Linked DNA regions of Lepisosteus oculatus. The protein of the gene in region 1 interacts with the protein of each later gene in a biochemical or structural test. Links are inferred from orthologs where the notes say so. Each region holds a gene or a part of one and is shown on either strand. Other genes may lie near its edges.

Region 1 (7,412 bases):
TAAAAGACAAGTAGGCAGAAGCAAGAGAAACAGACACAAGGAAGAGAGAGACACAGACAGTAAAGGAAGAGACAGAGAGAGATACAAGAAGGCACCATGTTTGAATCAACTCTTACGACCAGATTCTAGTTAAATATTTGAACCCTGTTTGAGAGAGCTTGCTTCTGTGTTTTAGGAAACACAGTCCCTTTATGATGATTTCCCACGGTAAACTTTTCACTCCTAGTTAGTGGATGCAGTGCGAGATGGGGCCCCATTCACTTTGGATTGTATCCTGTTTTATTTAGGATGAAGGTTTCTCTCTCTTTTTAGCATGTTAGGTGTTTTATAGGATTTGGAATACTGGTTAGCAGTCTCAGGGTTTTTTTGGTTGGTCAGGATACAGGCCATTGGTTATCACAGTTTGCCTGTGATTCTTTATTCTTTTGCTAAATCTGTGCCAAAGAATAAACAGCTCAAGTGCCCCCAACTAATGTGCTGCATTTGATTTTTGATCAACAATCTGAGTGACATGTATCTTCTCGAGACGATCAGAAATCCTACCTTTTCGTTTTCGATGCTCCCTTTTTTGATGTGCAGAGTGACCCTCCCGAGCTGCAGTGAGCCCGTGGCCTGTGGATTCGCGGGGCTCCTGACAGCCTGACTGTAGGACCTGTCTGGCCTCAGGAATTGTCTGCAGGCCCCCTCCATGGCACGAACCGAGGGCTCGTCATTATTGACCAGGCGGACATCTACATCCCCTAGGTGTATCTCGTCCTCAAGATACTCTTTCAGAGTTTTCACAAGGACTTCTGCACACAGTGGTAGAGGGAAGTTAAATATGCCAGAGCTCAGGGCAGGGATGGCCACAGACTTCAGTTTTTCTCTCTTTACTATATCTAAAATGCTACAAATAGCTTTTTTTAAAAGAGGTGCAGCTCTGTCAAGTTCTGTTTGACTGGGGTAAGGACTGCAGCGTGGACCTACTGCATGGATGATTGCCTTACAGGGCAGCTGTCCTGCCTGTGTGATTACAGCGTCTCCCGTCCTTACTTTCCCATTAAGCTGGATTAAATAATTGCTCGCATGTTGTATTTCTGGGCCGCCAGCGATAGAGAGAGCAAGGGCGAGGCCGCCACAGTGATCCAAGTCCTCGTTGGCGGCGTTGACCACCGCCTCCACCCGGTGAGCGGTCAGGTCGTCCTTCCAGACGGAGAGCATCGACCCCCTCCCCAGCCTCGCCGAAAACCTCTTTTCGGGAACGAGGGCCGGCCTGGAGGAGCTCGGGGAAGACCAAACTTGGTCCGCGGGGTTGAGCGCAGCGTTGCAGCCGAACTTACTGAGGACAACCGCGCCCAGGTCGGCACTGCCGATCAACATCCGCGCGATCTCCCGGGCGATCGGGACCTCCGAAGAGTCCGCTCGGCTCTGGAGTCCTGAGCTCATCCTGCACCGGAAAGCTGCGAGAGGAGAAAGCGGCACACGTTATTCCAGAAATCTCTGGGGCTCCTCTACAGCCCGAATCGAGCACAAAGGGAGAATCTACCTTCAGAAACAAGGGGCTTGTTTCCCATTGCTGATATGTGTTTACTCCTTCCTGCATGCTGAATGGTTCTGCTTCATGAAAAAACACTGAGACATTGGTACATCACATCTGTATTTAGGATGTTGGGGAAATGTGACATTTAGTAATCCATTACAGATTGTCACTTGTGTAAGGGATTACTTTTGTATACTGGAAAGTCATTAGGGGAAAAAGGTTTGAAATACATTACAGTAATCTATGAAGTGTGTGCATAAATAATATGAAAAAATATTACCTACCTCTCAACGTTCCCCAATTTCTTATTAATTTTAAAAAGTATGTTTTACACAAGTAGCATGAATTACTTTTCAAAAGTGACTCTGACACCGTTCGCGCTGTCAACACAATTAAAACTGAAAAACGGGCGTACACACACTGAAGACAAAACTTTCATTTTCTCAGAAGACTTGTGCAGGTATAATGCGCCATAAAACGAAAATCAGGAAGAACCGGGGAGAGATACAAGTAAAGGTAACGAAAGACGCGAAAGGATAACTTTGACGTTCATGCTCCGAGACAGTTCTTTCCGCGTCACCATTGCTGTTTGAGCACAGGACTGAAGGACCTGCTCTCGGAATCTAGACTAGGGCTCGTAGCGACGTCGCAATACGTAATGCAAGTTTGTCGCCTATCGCTCGCTCACCCTTTGCGCTCTCTTTATTGTCGTGTTATCATTTTTTTTTTGTTGTTCGAGTATGAACGAGAACCTACTAACCATTGAAAACTAAAAATTAGTGAATTCCCCCGCTGGTGCGAAAATAAAATCTGCGTTGCACATGAAAAGGACTTGCTATTTTCTGCTTGTTGTTTTTCCAACTTTCTTTGCAGACCCCGATTAAAAAAACTAAATTTCACCAAATGAAACGGAACACAAATCCCGATGGTCGCATAGAAAAGATGATACAGTCATGATTTACCAGCAAAAGAAGAGAGCCACAGGAATGAAGTCTTTCTTTTTCGGCGTTAAGTTTCCTTTTGACCTCCTAGCAGAATCCAGGCAGAAAAAAACAGCCCGTCGCCCGGAATCGAAAGTGAAAGTCGAGCTGTAGCTGTAGCAAAACAGCTCTGGCCGACCGTCCCGCAGAAGTCGCACTTTTCCTCGTAGATGTGGAGAGAGACTGGGTGCGGTACCTGGCTTTTTTTTTCGTAGCATTAAGTCACATATTAGCGAATTAAAATCAGTTGTTATGTTCTTCGGGGGTTTTATTATGTGGCGTTAATATGCGATTATGAGATTAAAGCGTTACCAAGTCCTGGTTGTATACGATCGCTGTATCATCGTAAATGTGATACAGAATAGAGAATATAGTGCGTTTAGAGTCCTCTGGAAGTGTGAGGGCTACGCGTCGGCGTTTTGCAACTTTCTTCAAAGCCTTTTCATGCACATGATCTTTCCGAAGTCTGAACTCCACTAAGAGCAGTGTCCCGTTTAGAATAGCGGACTTTATCGCTGAGGTAAATTGCGGTCGGTGTCGCCTGAGATTGTCCCTCTATAACAAATGGAGAATTCTCGCAACTGAAATTTAAAATCTGTGTTTTAAAAATATATATTTTTTTATCAAAGAGGAGTATTTTAGGGAACAGCAATGTATGTATTGCTGAAATGAGACAGAAAAATGATTATTTGCATATGTTGTTGTCCTGAATATTAACGAAACAAAAACGAGGGATTGTATAATGATTTCGCGGAGCTGTATTCTTTGTATGATCCTGTCGTCAGGATTTTATGACCATACAAGCTTGATAAAACATTCAGCATTAACCGTATTACAACTTCCTGCTGGTCTTTACAGCGGCAGGAGGACGAGGGGATTTCCGAGAAAACAGAACCGAAACGAAAGCGCCGCTCCGAGACAAGTACAGCTCCGAGGGGCTCGACCGGGCTGAGCCGAGAGATGGCCGAGCGCTACCTGTACCCTGTCTGGGTGGAAGGCGATTGGACTGGCATTCCCAATCTGAAAAACAAGCTCCAGATTTACTTTCAGAGTAAGAAGAAGTCCAGTGGAGGGGACTGCCAGGTGGATTGTGGAGACGTCGGGGAACGAAAGGCTGTCGTGTGGTTCAGAACTGAGGAAAGTAAGTACCGTCCACACATACAGTACATTTCTTTGGCGTAAATCACCTTTCTTAAATCTGTAAAGACCTACATTCTCAGGTGTTAGTGCGTCTTTCCGAGATGTCTGCATGTTGCTCAAAATGGTCAAATCGACCTATTAACTGCGTGTGGCCGATAAAGCTGTAGGAACAGCAAATAAAGTTCATGCAGAGGTAAGGATTTACCTTGTGATACACCAGACATGGGAGGGTTTTGCAAGTCACATTTCGATGCACGTTCGTGCTATTGTAAATTAAATATGTATAAATAAACGATATTCAAAATGAAAGTAATTTGCTTATTACAAATCTGTGATCAAATGTCATAATATAATACAGCAAAATATAACCTTAAGTAACAGTTATTACTTATTTTAAATATTGAGTATAAGAAATTATATAAATTATATCAGAGAGCTGGGTTTCATTCCACCTGTGCTCTTTATGACTTAACAGAAACAGATATTGTTTTTATTGGTCTTAACTAGTTCATTTTACATAACCTGCAGAGCTGCAGCTCTCAGGGATTAGGGATGAACTCCCAGACCAGCATGACTGAACACAGGAGTTACCAAACCTGGAGAGGACCTGCAACACAGTTGCAGCTAATGAATATCTAATACACTTGTTGATTTTACTCCACTCCTTCCCTGAATCGCAACTAACCCAGACTGCATCACCAAAAGCTACAAAACTCAGACTCTTTGCTTGAGGCTTGTAAGTCAGCTCCAGACCTCTTTCTTGGGGTATGTCTGAAGATTCATCTCCAAAAAGCTGGTGTCTTTATCTCAGTCTGAGAGTCACATGTCCATAATCACAGCCTCAATAAGGAAGAATGAATGGAGTGTGGGGGAGTCCTGCTGGTGCAAGGCCATCCTGTGGTTAATTAGAACATACAGTAGTTCTGGAAGCAATACAAGAGCCCACAAATGGTGTTAGAAGTTAGAGTGTGTCAAAAACAAATGAGAGCACTAAAACCAATGTGCCATACTGTCCACTAACCTTGAGCCTTTGGAGAGAGTGGGCAGTGAAACCAGCAAGTCAGTAATTACTGGTTGTGAACAGCATTCTCTCCAATTTTCAGCCAGGCAGCGCATTCTTGAGAAGGGGAACCATGCGCTGAAGTTAGACAAAAGTGTGGTGAAGCTGACTGTCAGAAAACAGGAACAACCAGCTGAGAAAAGCCCAGAGCCAGTAAGTGATGTAGATTTGCAGGTGGTGGGGTGCTTATCGCGCATCACCCTCATTTTTCTGTGTTCTAAAGAGACCTGAGTATAATATTCTACAGACGTATGAAAGGTTTACATTTACAAAAAAAAATCAAGACTTAAGCTAAATCATAAAGTACACAATGTGTCAACTACTCTGACATAAAATGGCACAAGCCTGAGAGAGAAAAAAGCACAATTAGCTGTTCAGTTTTATAATCTAGGAATAAAATGCAGATATGTTGTTTCTTATTTCAGATAAAAGAATCTTCTGGCACACATAAATGTAAGTATAAAGCATTTTAATGAAATGGACAACTGTAAAAGCATGATTGCGTTCAAACCCTGTTCTTTTAAAAAAAACGTGGAAACTGTCAGTGAGTGGGTATTGCTGTTGCTTCCTGGCTCCAAGGCCCTTGGTTTGACTGTGGCTCAGTCCGTGTGGAGGATGTGGCATGTAATCGTCTTGTTTGTGTGGGATTTGTCCCACAGTCCAAGGACATGCTGTTCAGAAATCAATTATTTGGCATCTCTGAATTGCTTTCTGCATGTGTGTGTGCCCTGGCGTCCTGTCCAGGGTGTGGTCATGCCTTGTGCCATGTGCTGGATGACACTCCCTTTGACACTTTTCAGTTTCCCAAGGGCAAGAATAAGAGCTCCTGAAAATGAATGGTTGGTTTTCAAAATTATATTTTGCAGTTTTATATTGACTATTGTTTAACATGTGAATAGGCATCCGGCTCTGATACCTCCTGCCTTGCATGGGAAGAATAAGAATGTGTGAACACACTCCTCTGGTCCATCTCTCTTCATAGTCTTCATTAGAACATGAGATTGCAAAAGCTCTGAATAATTCTAAATTAAGATCTAGAATTATAATACCATAAGTGAACGCCATTGCATTTTTAGCCTCTTGATTGCAATACCTCTCTTGCAGCGTCTTCATCTTCTACTCTCAAAGATGCTCCAGAAGAATCCAGTGTTTCTTCCAAAGTTCAGGAAAAAAACACAGATCCAGATGAAGACATTCCAGAGACAGCCTCTTTGGTGCTGGAAAATGTTCAGGAGAAAATTAGCAAGGATTTTCTGGAGATGCTGGTGGAAAACATCGCAGATTGCTCTGCAGAGTCTGATTTCAGTTTAGAGATCATATATGATATAAATGCAGCAGTTGTGTCATTTAAAAACAGCAAAGGTAAGATTATGTGGAGGCGTGAAATGAAACATGCGTTACATATTGATAGAAAGTTAATTTTTTTCTGTTAAATCAGTTAAATCTGAGATTACACCTCTGTGAGCAGCTGGTATTTAGCTTCTTGCCTTTCAGTATATCACAAATCTCACTGGCATGAACAAAAATCATATTAAAAGATTTGGAGATCTTCCCTGTTTAAAATTCAGTGCATGTTATCTATAAGGCGTTTCTGTATTGCCTTCTGTGTGTGTAGGGGTGTGTGGATATGTGAGTGTGCACCCTAAGTTGGACTGTTCCATTTTCAGTGCAGTTGTCAACTTGCACTCTGTGTTTGCTGGGTCAGGCTCTGCCCCACCCCAACCCTCTGAGGATAAACTGGTACTGAAAATGGATGAAAAATTGATGAATGTTGAGTGACGAGAGACTGTGATTCCAATATACAATGAGTCAGTCATGGAGAAGAATCGCTTGTATTTGCAGATGTTCAGACCTTTCTTGCCAAGTGTGCCAAAAACAAGATGTTCAGACAGTGGAATTTAGTTGCCCGACCCCTTGAAGTCACCACAAGTGTGAAAGTGGAAAACATTCCTTCAGTTACCAAAGACTTTATGGAGCTGTACTTCGAACGAGAGGGAGAGGTGAAAGAGGTTCTGATGATGGATGGGGAGCAGTCAGCTATTGTAACCTTTTTGGACCACAGAGGTAATGCTTCTTAAAAACATGATGCATTATTAAATTATTTTTCATGTTCCTCCACCTGTTTCAGTAATTCAATATTTAATTGAAACCAGAAACCAACCCTTTCATCATAATTGTATATGTCTGTTTTTGTTCCAGTTGCTGAAAACGTAATAAGAAAAAGACATCAGATCAGTAAAGTGCCCATCAGTGTGTACCTGTATTATGAGTCCCTGGGCACGGCTTTATATGGCAAAGACAGACCAGTGTGGAAGCTGCCAGACCCCTTTACTGAAAGCATTGACCAGGCCCTGTGGAAGTTTCTTCATACAGGTCAGAAGCAGGTGACAGTCATCAGCAGTCAGATGGAGAAGCACTTCTGTGAGGTGGACTTGAGAAACTCCACTGTCAGGATCAGCCCATTACCAGCCTTGCTGAAGCAAAAAGGTTTGACAGCCAAGCACATTGATGCTTGGAAAGAGAATGCTTCCGCTGCCTTCCGCAATACCATGTCCAAGTACAGTTCCTTTGAATATCCTGTGAATCCCTCAGTGTGGAGTGAATCTGAGAAGGAAATCCGCAGAGCAGTGACACAGGCAGCAATCTTGGAGCCTGACATGACTAAAGAGTCTGTAGCTGTAGCAGGCTTGTCCGAAGATGCTAACAGACTAAA
Region 2 (7,726 bases), on another chromosome or scaffold:
ACTCAGGAAGTGGCTTCCTAAATTTTTACAAAAACAATACATTACGCCCTGTGATTCGAGGTTTTTTTCCTCCCCCAAGTCTCTGTCTTAATCATGCCTCTTTCCTCCTAGTTAAGAAAGCGCGGTACTCAACTCCAGCAGTCTCAGGATGTGGTAACTCACCCCTCTAAAAACACTCTGTCCAGTCTGAATCTGTCACAGGGCCGCACAAACAGCCTCTTCTGTGTCTCGCAGAAGCTACTGGACCTCTGCACTGAAAATCCAGTCCACCATGTAAAACAACAGTTCCAGAGTCCAAAAGACAGCGTGCAGCTTGACTGAATCACCCCGCTCAAACAAACAACTGCAACATCCCAGCTGGGATTCAAACCCACAACTCTCTGGTCCAGAGTCCAGAAATCCATCCCCTGTTAGTGCCACACTATAGCTCCACACTCGTCTACACTACTGCCACACTATAGCTCCACACTCGTCTACACTACTGCCACACTACAGCTCCACACTAGTCTACACCACAGTCACACTATAGTTCCACACTCGTCTACACTATGGTCACACCATAGCTCCACATTCATCTACACTACTGCCACACTATAACTCCACACTCGTCTACACTACTGCCACACTATAGCTCCACACTAGTCTACACTACTGCCACACTACAGCTCCACATGCACCTACACTACTGCCACACTATAACTCCACACTCTTGTACACTACTGCCACACTATATCTCCACACTAGTCTACACTACTGTCACACTATAGCTCCACACTCGTCTACACTACTGCCACACTATAGCTCCACACTAGTCTACACTACTGCCACACTACAGCTCCACACTCGTCTACACTACTGCCACACTATAGCTAAACACTCGTCTACACTACTGTCACACTATAGTTCCACACTCGTCTACACTATGGTCACACCATAGCTCCACGCTCATCTACACTACTGTGCCACACTATAGCTCCACACTCATGTACACTTCTGTCACACTATAGCTCCAAAGTCGTCTACACTACTGTCACACTACAGCTCCACACTAATCTACACTACTGCCACACGACAGCTCCACATTCGTCTACACTACGGTCACACTATAGCTCCACACTCGTCTACACTACTGCCACACTATAGCTCAACACTCGTCTACACTACGGACACACTATAGCTTCACATGCACCTACACTACTGCCACACTATAACTCCACACTCTTGTACACTACTGCCACACTATATCTCCACACTAGTCTACACTACTGTCACACTATAGCTCCACACTCGTCTACACTACTGCCACACTATAGCTCCACACTAGTCTACACTACTGCCACACTACAGCTCCACACTCGTCTACACTACTGCCACACTATAGCTAAACACTCGTCTACACTACTGTCACACTATAGTTCCACACTCGTCTACACTATGGTCACACCATAGCTCCACGCTCATCTACACTACTGTGCCACACTATAGCTCCACACTCATGTACACTTCTGTCACACTATAGCTCCAAAGTCGTCTACACTACTGTCACACTACAGCTCCACACTAATCTACACTACTGCCACACGACAGCTCCACATTCGTCTACACTACGGTCACACTATAGCTCCACACTCGTCTACACTACTGCCACACTATAGCTCAACACTCGTCTACACTACGGACACACTATAGCTCCACATGCACCTACACTACTGCCACACTATAACTCCACACTCTTGTACACTACTGCCACACTATATCTCCACACTAGTCTACACTACTGTCACACTATAGCTCCACACTCGTCTACACTACTGCCACACTATAGCTCCACACTAGTCTACACTACTGCCACACTACAGCTCCACACTTGTCTACACTACTGTCACACTATAGCTCCACATGCACCTACACTACTGCCACACTATAACTCCACAGTCTTGTACACTAGTGCCACACTATATCTCCACACTAGTCTACACTACTGTCACACTATAGCTCCACACTCGTCTACACTACTGCCACACTATAGCTCCACACTAGTCTACACTACTGCCACACTACAGCTCCACACTCGTCTACACTACTGCCACACTATAGCTAAACACTCGTCTACACTACTGTCACACTATAGTTCCACACTCGTCTACACTATGGTCACACCATAGCTCCACGCTCATCTACACTACTGTGCCACACTATAGCTCCACACTCATGTACACTTCTGTCACACTATAGCTCCAAAGTCGTCTACACTACTGTCACACTACAGCTCCACACTAATCTACACTACTGTCACACTACAGCTCCACACTCGTCTACACTACTGCCACACTATAGCTCCACATTCGTCTACACTACTGTCACACTATAGCTCCACACTCGTCTACACTACGGACACACTATAGCTCCACACTCGTCTACACTACGGACACACTATAGCTCCACACTCGTCTATACTACGGCCACATTATAGCTCCACAATCGTCTACATATGAAAACTGTAGCTTAGTGTAGCAAAGCAAAATAATTATAGAATGTATATGCTCTATTTTACAAGATTATATCAACTCCAGTCACTTTCTCTTTCACACCTTGAACTCGGCACTTCCGTCAATTACAATTTCGACAACACCTGTGTGTTTACATTTCGACAAACTAAAGACAAGACAAACTAAACTGAATGAATACTAAAGTAAATAAAATTATTAAATATAAAACGTCGCTACAACACTGAACTGGTGGAATGTAAACAGGAAGTATAAAGTGAATTGTTACCTTATGAAGACCTCGACACTGCCCAGCTATCAGATCCTACACTGCTTCTCTGCTGCCGGAGCAAAGCACAGCGTGTCTTTCTAAAGTCAAATTAAGACTAGGTGTCCACAATAAGAGATCAAACAGATTTGTTTTTGAACCGTTTTCTGACTCGGCGGTGGAAGTCCGACTGCTCTACGCCCAGACTGGCATTCACTTTCGGTTCGGCTAAAATGAAAGAGAAACAGCGAAGGAGTCCCGCAGCTTCCAACAACGGACAAAAGGGGGCGCTGTCCTGCTGTCTTATCTGCGCGAACCGAACTTTCGCTTCAGGGGAAACGTAACTTTCGATTAAAACTCAAATACACCATGTTGGGGTTTGTTTAAGTAGAAGTTCACTTGAAAATATTTTTTGACTGTTGCGTTGCTTTTACCGCACGTCAATATTTAACTATATTGGTACCGAGGAGCTTAGGTGTCTACAATACTTAAATAATAATAGGACGTAATTTCTGCTGTCGCATCCAGTTTCCTCGCTAATGCAGCCGCAGGGGGAGCTGTTACATTCCTGGGCAGCAGACAGTTCCTGCAGCTGATCAATACAGGCTGAAAAACGTTAAGATACAAGGAACTGCTGCAGTGACAGAGCGCAGAGCGCAGAGCACAGGAGCAAGCTACAGGAACAGAATAGCTGCCAGGACTACAGAGCCAGAACTGTCAGTGCTCTTTGGAAAAGCAAGCAGTCTTTACCCGTCACAGGAATGCATACTAGTCGGGTGTGTTTCAGAGTGCAGAGAGGAAGGAGTGTCTAAACCAGGAACATCTTTGTTGCTTATAGAGGAGCTCCTCTTGTCCACCTGTTGGTCAGCGTGCAACGTCGGTAACAGAAAGACAGCTGTCTGTCGCCGCCAGCTTCGGTTTTATACCCAAACAGAACAGTTTAGATAGTTTTGCAGCTTGTGGCCATGAAACAGACAGAGCAAATTGATATCCACTCCCAACCTTAAATAACTGGCATTGATCACTCATTTAAGCACCTTGTCTATTTATAACCAGGTTTCTGTTCCTATATATCTCTAAATAGCCAGGGACATCTCTCTGCTTACCCAGTGTGTGAACATGCACAGTGCACAGCAGAAACTCAGACAGAGACCACCCCAGATAGAGTGTGTGTTGCAGTGCAAATAGTTTTATTGAAAGCGGTACAGTGACACCGGTGGTCTTTTGTGTGGCATTTGAATACTGTGATTGTACAGTCAGTCTGTCAGAAATCCCTCTTCCACAAAGGCAGATGCCCCATCCACAGACTGAATTACACTGGGCAGCCTGGTCTCATTCAGTAACACTAGTCTGATACACACACAGCCTCACTGTCCCCATTCTGTTTTCTGCTCTGCCGTTAATCCACTCCTTCTTCAAGGCTGATATTGTTGGAGGGACAAAAGCAGAAATACATACATTTTTTTATTTTAAAACATCAGCTACACCTGGCGGGCTCTACTTCACAGCACTGTCACTGCAGAGGTATAGATACCTCCCGTTTCTTCATCAACACAGAGTCCAAACGAACGTACACTTCAATAGTGACAATAATTTAACCAGGAGTTTATTTATGCACGATTGCACCAGGTCCTAAATCTCAACCCTTTGTGTCTTAAGAACAACCCCATTTGCAGATCCAAGATTGTGGGTGAAACAAGATACACATGACCTCTGAGCTGAACACATCAGGCCAGATCTAGAGGAAATGCGATCACAAGGGATGTGCCAAGTGCACTGTTCTTATTAGTGCTACAACATCATCGGGACAGAACACCTACAGCTCCTCATTATGCTGCAAGGCGTGATGTCTGTGTGGGGCTGTGTGTGGGGCTGTGAGGGGCTGTGAAGGGCTGTGAAGGGCTGTGTGGGACTGTGAGGGACTGTGAGGGACTGTGTAGGGCTGTGTGGGGCTGTGAGAGGCTGTGTGGGACTGTGAGAGGCTGTGTGGGGCTGTGAGGGACTGTGTGGGGTTGTGTGGGACTGTGTGGGGCTGTGTGGGGCTGTGTGGGGCTGTGTGGGACTGTGAGAGGCTGTGAGGGGTGCATGGGGCTGTTAGGGGTTGTGTGGAGCTGTGAGGGGCTGTATGAGGGTCTGAGAGTGGCTGTGAGGGGTGTGGGGGGCTGTATGAGGGGCTTTGAGGAGCTTTGAGGGGCTGTGAGGGGTTGTGAGGAGCTGTGAGGGGTTGTGAGGGGCTGTGAGGGGCTGTATGGGAATGTGTGGGAATGTGGGAACCATACGGGAGACCTGGGACCTGGTGTCATAGCAAAAGAACGCCCGACAATAAGGCATAGTTCTCACACAGAGCCCAGAGGACACAGCTACACGGGTTAAAACTGGGCAGTAAAAAATGGAATGAACCAGTTCAAATCACTCTCAAAACAATAAAAGCAACAGTACTAATATTAAAAAATAGATATTACAGCATAACATTTCAAGAAACATCTTTGGCTTTTCAAAAAATAAAAAGGCATATTCTGGTAAGGCAAAATGAAGGCTGTCTCTCCAGTCGAACCCTGGACTCCGCTTCCCCTGCTCCTCCCCTCCCTTGTCACTGTCTCTGATTTAATTGGATGAATTGAGCAGCTTCTCCCAGTTGTACAGGTGCCTGTGCTGATGCACCTGTTCTCCAGGGCAAAGACTGCTGGAGACCCTTGCCTCCAGAACAGTCCCAGTCCCTTCGAGCGTCACAGCCAGGATCCCCATCGCCATGGAGAAAAGCCCCTCCCTCCCTGCGGCTGATTGGCTGGTCCCTAATCCAGGGAGACTGCAACCTGCTCCCTGGACACGCCCATAGGTAGGGGAGGGGCTGAGCGACGTTGGGGGCGTGCCCAGGGGGCACCTTGGCACTGGCCACCAAGCATGGCGCAGGGCCGAACCAAAGCAGCAAAGGGGCAAGGGGAGCTCCGACTGCAGACACAGCCTGTGATAAAACCAACAGAACAGAAACTTCCGGACTCCAGTCTTCCGTGACGGGGCTGCGCTGTCGTGATATATATATCGTGACACAGTGAGAAAGGGCATAAGCCGGAATCGTGGGCAGGCACCGAGCAATGCAAAAGCATGGCGAAAGGTGAACAGAGCCGTGGAGACAATACTTTCCCTTGCCTCCCGCAGGAGTCTCAAGGGGCTAGCAGCTCAAGGGGGCTAGCAGAAGTCTCGCGAGACGAATCCCTGCAGTCGTGACTTCGAGGGCCTGCTCCTGACCCTGGGTCGGACCTGAGCTGGGCTGCAGGGCCGAAGGGCATGTTTGTGTCTCCTAGGGGCTGGGGATGTCTCCCTCTCTCGTCTGCCCCTCACCAGTACTCACACTACAGCAGTACAATTCAACTGTTAATCATTCATTTTAAAAACATTCTTGGCACGGAAGAGAAGGAGAGAAGGGGAGGAGAGAAGGAGAGAGAGGGTGGGGGGGTGGAAAGGCATCGCTGGGCAAGGCTGAATCACAGTTGCTGTTGGTTATCTAGTGAGTCTCTTGTTTCAGGTCGTACCTGTCGGAGAGAGACACAGTCAGTGGGAGGAAGACAGCAGCTCAAGCCAACAGTTTCCTGTTGGACAGGAATGTGAGGGGCTGTATTCAGCCTCGTGATGGAGCTTGTCCCTGAGCCCTACTCACCACTGCGTGACCCCTGCGCTCAGGTCCACCTGCGCCAGGTCGATCTGGACCTGGAAGGGAAGGGAACAGGGGCTGGCATCACTGCGCCCACTCACAGACTGACACACGCCAGGGGTTACAGACGGAGAGGCGTTCTACAGACAGACCACAGTACAGTAATAGCCAGGGTGACAGCTGGTCGGGTAGGTGTCAGGTGATAGACAGGCAGACAGGTGACAGCTGGACAGACAGGTGACAGGTGATAGACAGGCAGACAGGTGACAGCTGGGCAGACAGGTGACAGGTGATAGACAGGCAGACAGGTGACAGCCGGGCAGACAGGTGACAGGTGATAGACAGGCAGACAGGTGACAGCTGGGCAGACAGGTGACAGGTGATAGACAGGCAGACAGGTGACAGCCGGGCAGACAGGTGACAGGTGATAGACAGGCAGACAGGTGATAGACAGGCAGACAGGTGACAGCTGGTCAGACAGGCAGACAGGTGATAGACAGGCAGACAGGTGACAGCTGTTCAGACAGGTGACAGGTGATAGACAGGCAGACAGGTGATAGACAGGCAGACAGGTGACAGCTGGTCAGACAGGTGACAGGTGATAGACAGGCAGACAGGTGATAGACAGGCAGACAGGTGACAGCTGGTCAGACAGGCAGACAGGTGATAGACAGGCAGACAGGTGACAGCTGGTCAGACAGATGACAGGTGATAGACAGGCAGACAGGTGACAGCTGGTCAGACAGGTGACAGGTGATAGACAGGCAGACAGGTGACAGCCGGGCAAACAGGTAGGCAGACAGATGGGGTGACAGACAGGAGGGCATTCAGACCTTGCCAATAAGCTCCCTCTCTCGGCTCATGAAGGAAACACTGTTCTTGACAAAGAGCTCCAGCTTCCTCTTCTGAGACTCCGCTAGGGAGAGTTCAAAATCGAACCTGCAGAGAGAGAGAGAGGGAGAGGGTCAGAACCACACCCTGAGAGCTGCACATCACGCACACGAGGACAGAACTCCGCCTCCCGCCCTGACCTCTCGTTGTACTCTGGGTTGAGGTCTCTCTTCTTCACACTGGTCTTCCTCTTGGTGGATTTGTTCTTGTCCGGCAGAAGGCTGAAGGAGATGTAGGGGTCTGAGCCGTCCTTGGCACAGGCTGCCAACTGCCTGGACAGACACAGGGGAACAGCATGAATATAGACCCAGGGGCACAGACACAGCCTGGACAGTGTGGACATGGACAGTTCAGCACAGAGACACACACACAGACGCTCGCAGATGGACCCAGCATCAGTGCAAGGAGACAGACCTGCAGGCGTGAATGATG

What was found. The genes of interacting proteins can lie anywhere in the genome.
Region 2: the proteins of parp9 (region 1) and E3 ubiquitin-protein ligase DTX3L-like form a complex in vitro, tested with the Homo sapiens proteins (3 studies listed by BioGRID). The link is inferred for Lepisosteus oculatus from reciprocal best matches to the Homo sapiens genes PARP9 and DTX3L.

Annotation. Positions count from the first base shown.
Region 1 is NC_090707.1:6,605,184-6,612,595, forward strand, and holds the start of parp9 (protein mono-ADP-ribosyltransferase PARP9), read right to left. Parts: upstream 3,017-7,412; 5' UTR 2,482-3,016; intron 2,423-2,481; exon of another isoform or gene 2,280-2,422; intron 2,229-2,279; exon of another isoform or gene 2,036-2,228; coding exon of another isoform or gene 1,985-2,035; exon of another isoform or gene 1,804-1,984; intron 1,440-1,803; 5' UTR 1,426-1,439; coding exon 544-1,425; intron 1-543. Other genes in the region: parp14rs1 (poly(ADP-ribose) polymerase family member 14-related sequence 1), read left to right, coding at 1,985-2,035, 3,358-3,640, 4,743-4,852, 5,125-5,152, 5,804-6,061, 6,542-6,763, 6,899-7,412.
Region 2 is NC_090696.1:14,713,071-14,720,796, reverse strand, and holds the start of E3 ubiquitin-protein ligase DTX3L-like, read right to left. Parts: upstream 3,001-7,726; 5' UTR 2,776-3,000; intron 18-2,775; 5' UTR 1-17. Other genes in the region: extended synaptotagmin-1, read right to left, coding at 6,257-6,284, 6,410-6,459, 7,237-7,342, 7,435-7,566, 7,709-7,726.